Danio rerio: one gene and its partner. The protein of the gene in region 1 interacts with the protein of each later gene in a pairwise test. Links are inferred from orthologs where the notes say so. Each region holds a gene or a part of one and is shown in the gene's direction. Other genes may lie near its edges.

Region 1 (3,608 bases):
TTCTCGTCTACCTCAGCGCTCAGCTTATGGCCAGGGTGCTGGCACAGGTAAGGACTTGCATTTATTTTATTGATTGGCCTGTCATTGACCGATTTAACCAATTATTCCCCCTTGTTATTTATATCAAGATTCAATTTTGCACAGTTTGATGCAACTATCGTACCTCTACTTTTTTCCCTGTCGTTATTTATGCAGGGGTTTGACACACACATATGTGACTTTTCTTTTTGCATTCAGGATTTCCATTTTAGTTTTAGCAATTTTGTTACTACATAGCTAGCATGAAGAGCTGCGTTGACTGTCGACTTGATAAAAGACAATAGACCCACACCAGCATATGACAAGGCTCTCCAATCCATCACTGACAGTGCAAACTTCACACTGGACTTTAAGCAGCCTGACTTTTGTGTCTCTCCGCTCTTCCTGAATGAATGAAATACAAAATTTGCTTTAATCTGAAAAGAGGACTTGGGACCACTGGGCAACAGACCAGTACTTTTTTCTCTTTAGCCCAGTAGTGGCTTGACATGGAATTCTAGAGCTGTAGCCCATGCCATGCTGTATGTGGTGGTTCTTGATGTTCTGAGACCAGCCTCAGTTGCCCTTGCTTGACAATCCTCTCAAGGCTGCGGTCATACTTGTGTACCTTTTCCAGCAACATTTTCCCCTCTTCCCAACACTCTATTAATAAACTTAGATGCTGCACTCTGAGAGCGTCCAGCTTCTTTTGCAATTGCCCTTTGAGACCTTTCCTCCTTATGGAGGGTTCCAATGATGGTCTTCTGCACAACTGTCAAGTCAGAAGTCGTCCCCATGATTCTGAAGCCTACTTGGCCAGACTGAGACAATTTCAAGGCTTTGCATTAATTAGTGGACTAGATTGAGACACAGGGAGCCACACAATGTTAAACTTGTCATGATATTCTAATTTTGTGAAATACTGGATTAGTTTTTTTTTTTTTTTTAATCTTTAATCAATAATCAGTAAAATTGAATAAAATGAAGGCTTTGAATATTTCTCTTTGTGTGTAGTGAACTAATATAACACACGTTTCACTTTTTTCAAACAAATAATTGAAATAAATGGACTTTCCCTCGTTATTCTAATTTTCTGGCACATACCTGTGTGCATACAGACATTTAATTTTCAGACAGTTAAACTGATGCGCCATTACGAAATTGGCACATTTAAGATCTGATTCTTTTTTTTAATCAGTGATCTTCACTGCCTTATTGATATATGATATAAAGCAGCAATCAGACCAGACAAGAAGCACTGCATTAAATTCCATTTTTCTCCGCCATGTCTTGAAAATATGGAATTTTATTTTACCCAAGTATTTTCAATGGAGTTCTCTCTTCTCTCTTTCATCTTTTGCTTAACAACTAAATGGATGCTTAAGCCTATATTACTGATTATATTTTAATCATTACCACATCAATGCTGTAAAAAAAAAAAAAAAAAAAACATTCATTCATTCATTCATTTACTTTTCGGCTTAGTCCCTTTAAAAATCTGGGGTCGCCACGGCAGAATGAACCACCAACTTATCCAGCATATGCTTTTTACGCAGCGGATGCCCTTCCAGCTGCGAATCATCACAGAGAAACATCCACACACACCCATTCACACACATACACTATGAACAATTTAGCTTAGTCTTTGGACCTGTGGGGGAAACCGTAGCACCCGGCGGAAACCCACGCCAACATGGGGAGAACAAGCAAACTCCATACAGAAAGGCCAACTGTCCCAGCCTAGGCTCAAACCAGCAACCTTCTTGCTGTGAGGCGACAGCACTACCCACTGCGCCATCGTGTCATCGTGTCATCGTGAAAAACATTAGCTGTGCATATACCCCAATGAATTTGGTACATTTATCATTAAAAGTTTACAAAATAAAACCAAAAATATATTTTACTTAAATGCATAACTATAAGTCACATTGCTGAAAACTTTGAATTGATTTCTAAATTTTGGTTAAACTATAAAATAGTTTCATATATAAATATAGTACAACACAGAAAAAAGTATAAGAGCAGTTCATTTTATATTTTGCATTTTTATCTAAAGAAAATAGAATAGCAATTTTTTCAATAATAATTAGATGTTTTCATCAAAATCATCTGTCCATTTCTCTTCCTCCTCAGGAATTCCTAGCAGCAAACCCTCATCCACAGGCTCAATAAAGAGCACACCAACAGGATACTCTCCGTTACGAAACAACTCATCCGGCTTGACCAGCCCTCCCTCTGAGTAAGACAATCCCTCACCAATCCTGAATCCCAACACTTTCTCCACCCTTTTACACCAACATCATTCGTGTTTTCACAGGGGGAACATGAAACCCAAGGGTATGGTTTCACAAAGCTCACTGAGAAATCCTTCTACTGGTATAGGAATGAACAAGAAGAAGATCCAGAATGCAGATAACTGTATTTCAAGGTATGGCATTGAGCTTTTGGGATTCATGGTGTGAAGAGTTTTACTTCTAGCAGTTCCACATTTTGATTTTGATTTGATTAATTGTACACAAATTCAACCATTATTCTTTATTAGAATGTAGTTAATTCATTGCTAAAATATTATTACACATCCTGCCCAAAGTTGTCTTCCAAACATTGTGTGTGGGACTCTAGTTTGATGGCTACATCTTTCTTCAAGTCTTCTTATAGTTATTGCTCTACTGAAAATAGTTATTGAAATTTAAACCTTTAAATGCACTGTGGCAAAATTGTTGCACTCATGTTATATTGTGCTCCATTTGTTATAGGGAAGCACATTTCTGCCACTGAATAATATATTATTAAAAACTTAAATGTGACTCGGTGTCTGACAGTTTTGACGAATGACTTGCAATTGACAGTTGACATCTTTGTGTCTTTGCGTATATTCTCCAAATTGCGTGACGTGTACACACATTTGGTTTGTTCCAGTAATTAAAAGAAAAAAAAAATCTGGCAGCTTACAATTCTGACTTTTTGCAAGTTAAGTGGAAATAGCTAGATATAAACCCATACTTCTCAGAATTGTGTCACATAAACACTTCATTTTTGATCAGCAATTATAAGAAAAAAAGAGATCTTCGCTCACATATATGGAACAAAAAAGTTGCATGTTTACATCTCTTACCGTCATACTGTACTGAAGTCTGATCAGAAGTGTAAAGATGTTCTTGCAGTATATTGGTATGAATAAAAAGTACTAGACAAACATTTCTTTATACTTCCAGTTCACTAACACTGCTCAAATGTGGCATTATTATACTGACACAAAAATTAATTTTGTACAAATATAACCGATGTACAGTAAATGACAAAAACAAAGTTCAAGGCTGATGTCTCATTTTCACAGAAGCAGCAAATGTTTATTTATTTTGGATTTCTTTGTATTTATAGTTTGATCATTTATTTATTGTGGACGTTACGCATTAGTATATCAAGTCCTCACAAATTCTTCAGTAAAATAAAATAAACCTCATCATTTATTTAATGTTGCCTACTACAGAATACAAGTAAAGCACACAGAAATAAATTTGATTGAGCAAGAACTCCTGTTAATGATGATAAATTTAGTGCAGATACACAGCTTTTTATTAGATAATCAA
Region 2 (3,837 bases), on another chromosome or scaffold:
TGATCCCGGAGAATCATTTTTGCGTAATGAGTTTGGATCCGGACACTCTGCCAGCAATCGCAACCACCCTCATAGACGTTCTGTTTTACTCGAACAGGTATGAAAAGTGCTGATCCGTGCATTGGTGATCTTTTCACTGCTTTGAGTATTGTTTGGCAGCAACAAAAGCAAGTCAGCGCTGTCATTTACTGCCAGCAAGAGGTTTTTTGAATTAAATCACTTTCATACATTGAAAGTGATTGCACAACTTTTCTGCTTTTAAAATTTTGTGATACAGTAGTTCACCCAAAACTTTGAGTTTTTTCAGCATTTGATTGCAAAAGAAGATATTTTGAAGAAAGCTGAAAACTCTTAACTTGTATAGTAGGAAAAACAAACACTATAGAAGTCTCTAGTAACAGGACCAAACTTCTTCAAAATATCTTCTTCAATGGAGAGAGAATAAGGAATAATAAAGGAAAAGGCGTCTGAAAATGTTTTGATCCTGTCCTCTTTTGACTACTTACAGAGGTAGTCTGCATTTGATTGCTTTTGTTGTGTAAAATTTAATTTTATTGAATTCATTTAACCCTCTGGGGTCTGAGGGTGTTTTGGGGCTCTGGAGAAGTTTTGACATGCACTGACATCTGTGTTGTTTTCAGTATCTTAAAAACATATAAATGGCTAAAGTGTGATAACACTGTAAACAGCACAAGTTGGGCTACAATAATACCGAAGCAGCATGTTTGTATGTGTTTGTGTTTTTGAGAAAGAAACGTTTATGCGTGGTTAGTGAAAAACTAAAATTTTGAAGTCACTGAAACAAGGCCACGAAACACACAGAGAACATTTGTGCACATTTCTCATCTCTTTGTGTTTTGTATTTGTGGAGTTTTAGTGCATTTTACCGACGCGTTTCTAAAAGCAGATCACGGAGAGAGAAAAGACAGAATGCGTACACTGTTTGTTTTCCTTATTTTGCAAAAGCAAAGACGTTTGTTGTTGTTGTGAGTGTACACAACAAAAAGTAGACACATAACAGATTCAATTGATGTATTGATCTTATCTGTACGATCAAAACTGAAAGTGTTATTTAAGTTCATTTCAGCAGTTTGACGCCACCACAGGTCAAAACGCACATACGCGGTCTTCGACCCCAGAGGGTTAAATGGTCACAAAAGAGTACCTACTTTCTATGACCTAAGATGAAACACCGAAATTAAAAAGGTATACAAATATATGAAAAACTTTTTATTTTAAATGATAAATGCAGACATATTCAAAGAAACCACAAAGTCAGTTAATGTGTGTGTGTGTGTTGATCAGGGGTGCCCAAACTTTTCTTATGAAGGGCCAAAAACCAAACTTGATTAAGGCCAGTGGGCTGAAGGTAAACATTCAGCAGTTGCCATAGGTAATTTCCTTATTTATTTAATAATATTTAAAAATAGCTAGAAAACATTGCTTTATATTAACTAATGCAGCATATTTTTATTGCATTAAATTTTTAATAAACTTATTACAGTAAAAACTATTACATTTATAACAGAATGGAGTTACGCTTGATTTGCTTACTGATGTCGTCTGCATAATCCATCGAGTGACGTTATTTACATTTTTTAAAATCTGACTTATTTACAACATTTAAGTGAAACGTTTACAATCCGCTTGTTAAGTGTGACGTCACGCGAAGCGGCTTCCGGGTCCAAGCGCTTTATTCAACTGAATGGGGAGACTCATGAAATGGTAATAATAAATGTTTACAAAGTGATTTAATGCTTTCGAAAATCACGATTACAGTATATATGTCCATGCCTAATATCCAATGGCCAGAAAGTAATAATTTTTTTTATATATTGTTAAATTTTTGGTATTTGTGATGCAGCAAGCCCAGAGATTGTTGTGTACACTATGATTTTATATAAAATTAACTTTTAATGTGTGATAGGAATAAAACGTGATCATAAACGAATGATTTCTCCACTCAGATGAATGGCGGCTTGGACCCGGAAACAGTATACATACGTCACCAACACGTCATCACTTAACAAGCGGATACATTCATCAAACAATAAAACAAACAAAAAAAGGTTTCGTCAAATTAAAAATGATGATCTCTTTTAAAGGCATTCACCCAAATCCTTTACATCCTTCTCACTCTCTTGGGATGGCATGGTGGGCCAAATAAAAGGTTACAATAGGCCAACTTTGGCCCACAGGCCCTACTTTGGGCATCTCTGGTTTAGATCATGGTACGTGCAATCTGTTTTCATCTGTCTTTTTTCTTTCTGTTTTTCTTCTGCAGTCCTAAAGAGGGCGCCAGTGTTGACCAAGACATGGAGTGCATCAAGTTCTTCTCTTTCTCTCTGATTGACGGATATGTGTCTTTAGTGATGGACACAGACGCACAGAGACAGTAAGACCTTCACATAGACACAGCCAGGTTGTAAAAACAAGATTTACCACTCAAAGACCCGCCCACTCATATTTCTTGACTGGACAAGAGAAACCAATTGGTCATAAAAAATAATTTGACTAAAAAACATTATTATATGTGTATGGATATATTAAGATTTAATACTTGTATTTGAAAAAGTGTCTTCTGGAGCAATTTTAGAATATGCATGACTGACTAAATTGAAAGTTCTTGTATTGGCTTTTATTAGTTTTGTTGTCATTTGTACTTTTGTAATTTTTTCTATAGTGGATGTTAAAGAAAATCTTCTGTTGTGTAAAATATTTATTAAACATTTATTAACACTGTTGCCAAGAATATAGCCAATGCTGCTGATAAGTAGTTAAAACGCACACACGTACACACACACACACACACACACACACAAAATCAAACAAATGAATGGACAAAAAACAGTATGATCCTCACAGAGCCACCAACAGATTATCAAAGCATTATATGTTTCACTATTCAGTCTGAGAAATATATAATTGTGTGTAGGCATGGCTCGGTTGAAGATTCTGACAGTATGATAACCTTGGATAAAAATATAATGGTTTCACGGTTTGACGGTATTGTGAATACTGCTCTAAAACATATTCTTTTTAAATGTCTGGGTTAAAATTATAAACTTTTTCCCCTTTTGAACACAATATATATATATATTTTTTTTTTGAGAAACACTTAAAATACTTTGGGGCAGTAAACATGTCAGGCTGAATAATGAAAATGAATCATTGACTTCTGCTGTTCTTATTTGTTTCAAAAACACAGCTTTCTTTACACTTTAAAATGGCATCTTTGGATATCTTTTCTGCTGGAGATGTTGTCCTAAAAAATGTAGATAAAAAATCTTACACATACCTTAGAAAAGTTATTAAAAAATTTTTTTGGCGGTTTTAAAAACTTGACTTTTCTTATCCACGGTATACCTTAAAAATGGTTTTTGTCCCATGCCTAATTGTGTGTGTCTGTGTGTCAGATTCCCAGCTGATCTTCTGTTCACCAGCTCCTCTGGTGAGCTCTGGAGAATGGTGAGAATAGGAGGGCAGCCTCTTGGATTCGGTGAGATACATTGTTTTTTTCTTTTTATTTATTTATTCATTTATTTCTGTTCTACATTCAAAGGCAACATATGTCATCATTTAAAAATAGTTTCACTTAAAGGGATAGCTTACCCAAAAATGAAATTGTCGTTTACTTTACACTCACTCTGGTGGTTGTACATTTTCATGATTTTGTCTGCTTTTGTCAAACACAAAACAAGAAGCATTAAAAAAAAAAATTCAAAGTTGTTGCAAACAATTTATATGGGTTGAATTTAAACAAATTAAATTGATGTTCAGCTTAATTCGTTTGTTTAAAATCAGCCCAAATAAATAGTTTACAATCACTTACCTTAT

Evidence for each region.
Region 2: the proteins of zc2hc1a (region 1) and castor1 interact in binary tests that used the Homo sapiens proteins (3 or more experiments, as listed by UniProt). The two-hybrid records come from large-scale screens. The link is inferred for Danio rerio from reciprocal best matches to the Homo sapiens genes ZC2HC1A and CASTOR1.

What each region holds. Positions count from the first base shown.
Region 1 is NC_133199.1:26,659,741-26,663,348, reverse strand, and holds part of zc2hc1a (zinc finger C2HC domain-containing protein 1A), read left to right. Parts: coding exon 1-47; intron 48-2,151; coding exon 2,152-2,257; intron 2,258-2,335; coding exon 2,336-2,446; intron 2,447-3,608.
Region 2 is NC_133180.1:12,718,930-12,722,766, reverse strand, and holds part of castor1 (cytosolic arginine sensor for mTORC1 subunit 1), read left to right. Parts: coding exon 1-97; intron 98-2,284; coding exon 2,285-2,395; intron 2,396-3,416; coding exon 3,417-3,499; intron 3,500-3,837. UniProt on the Homo sapiens protein: Functions as an intracellular arginine sensor within the amino acid-sensing branch of the TORC1 signaling pathway. As a homodimer or a heterodimer with CASTOR2, binds and inhibits the GATOR subcomplex GATOR2 and thereby mTORC1.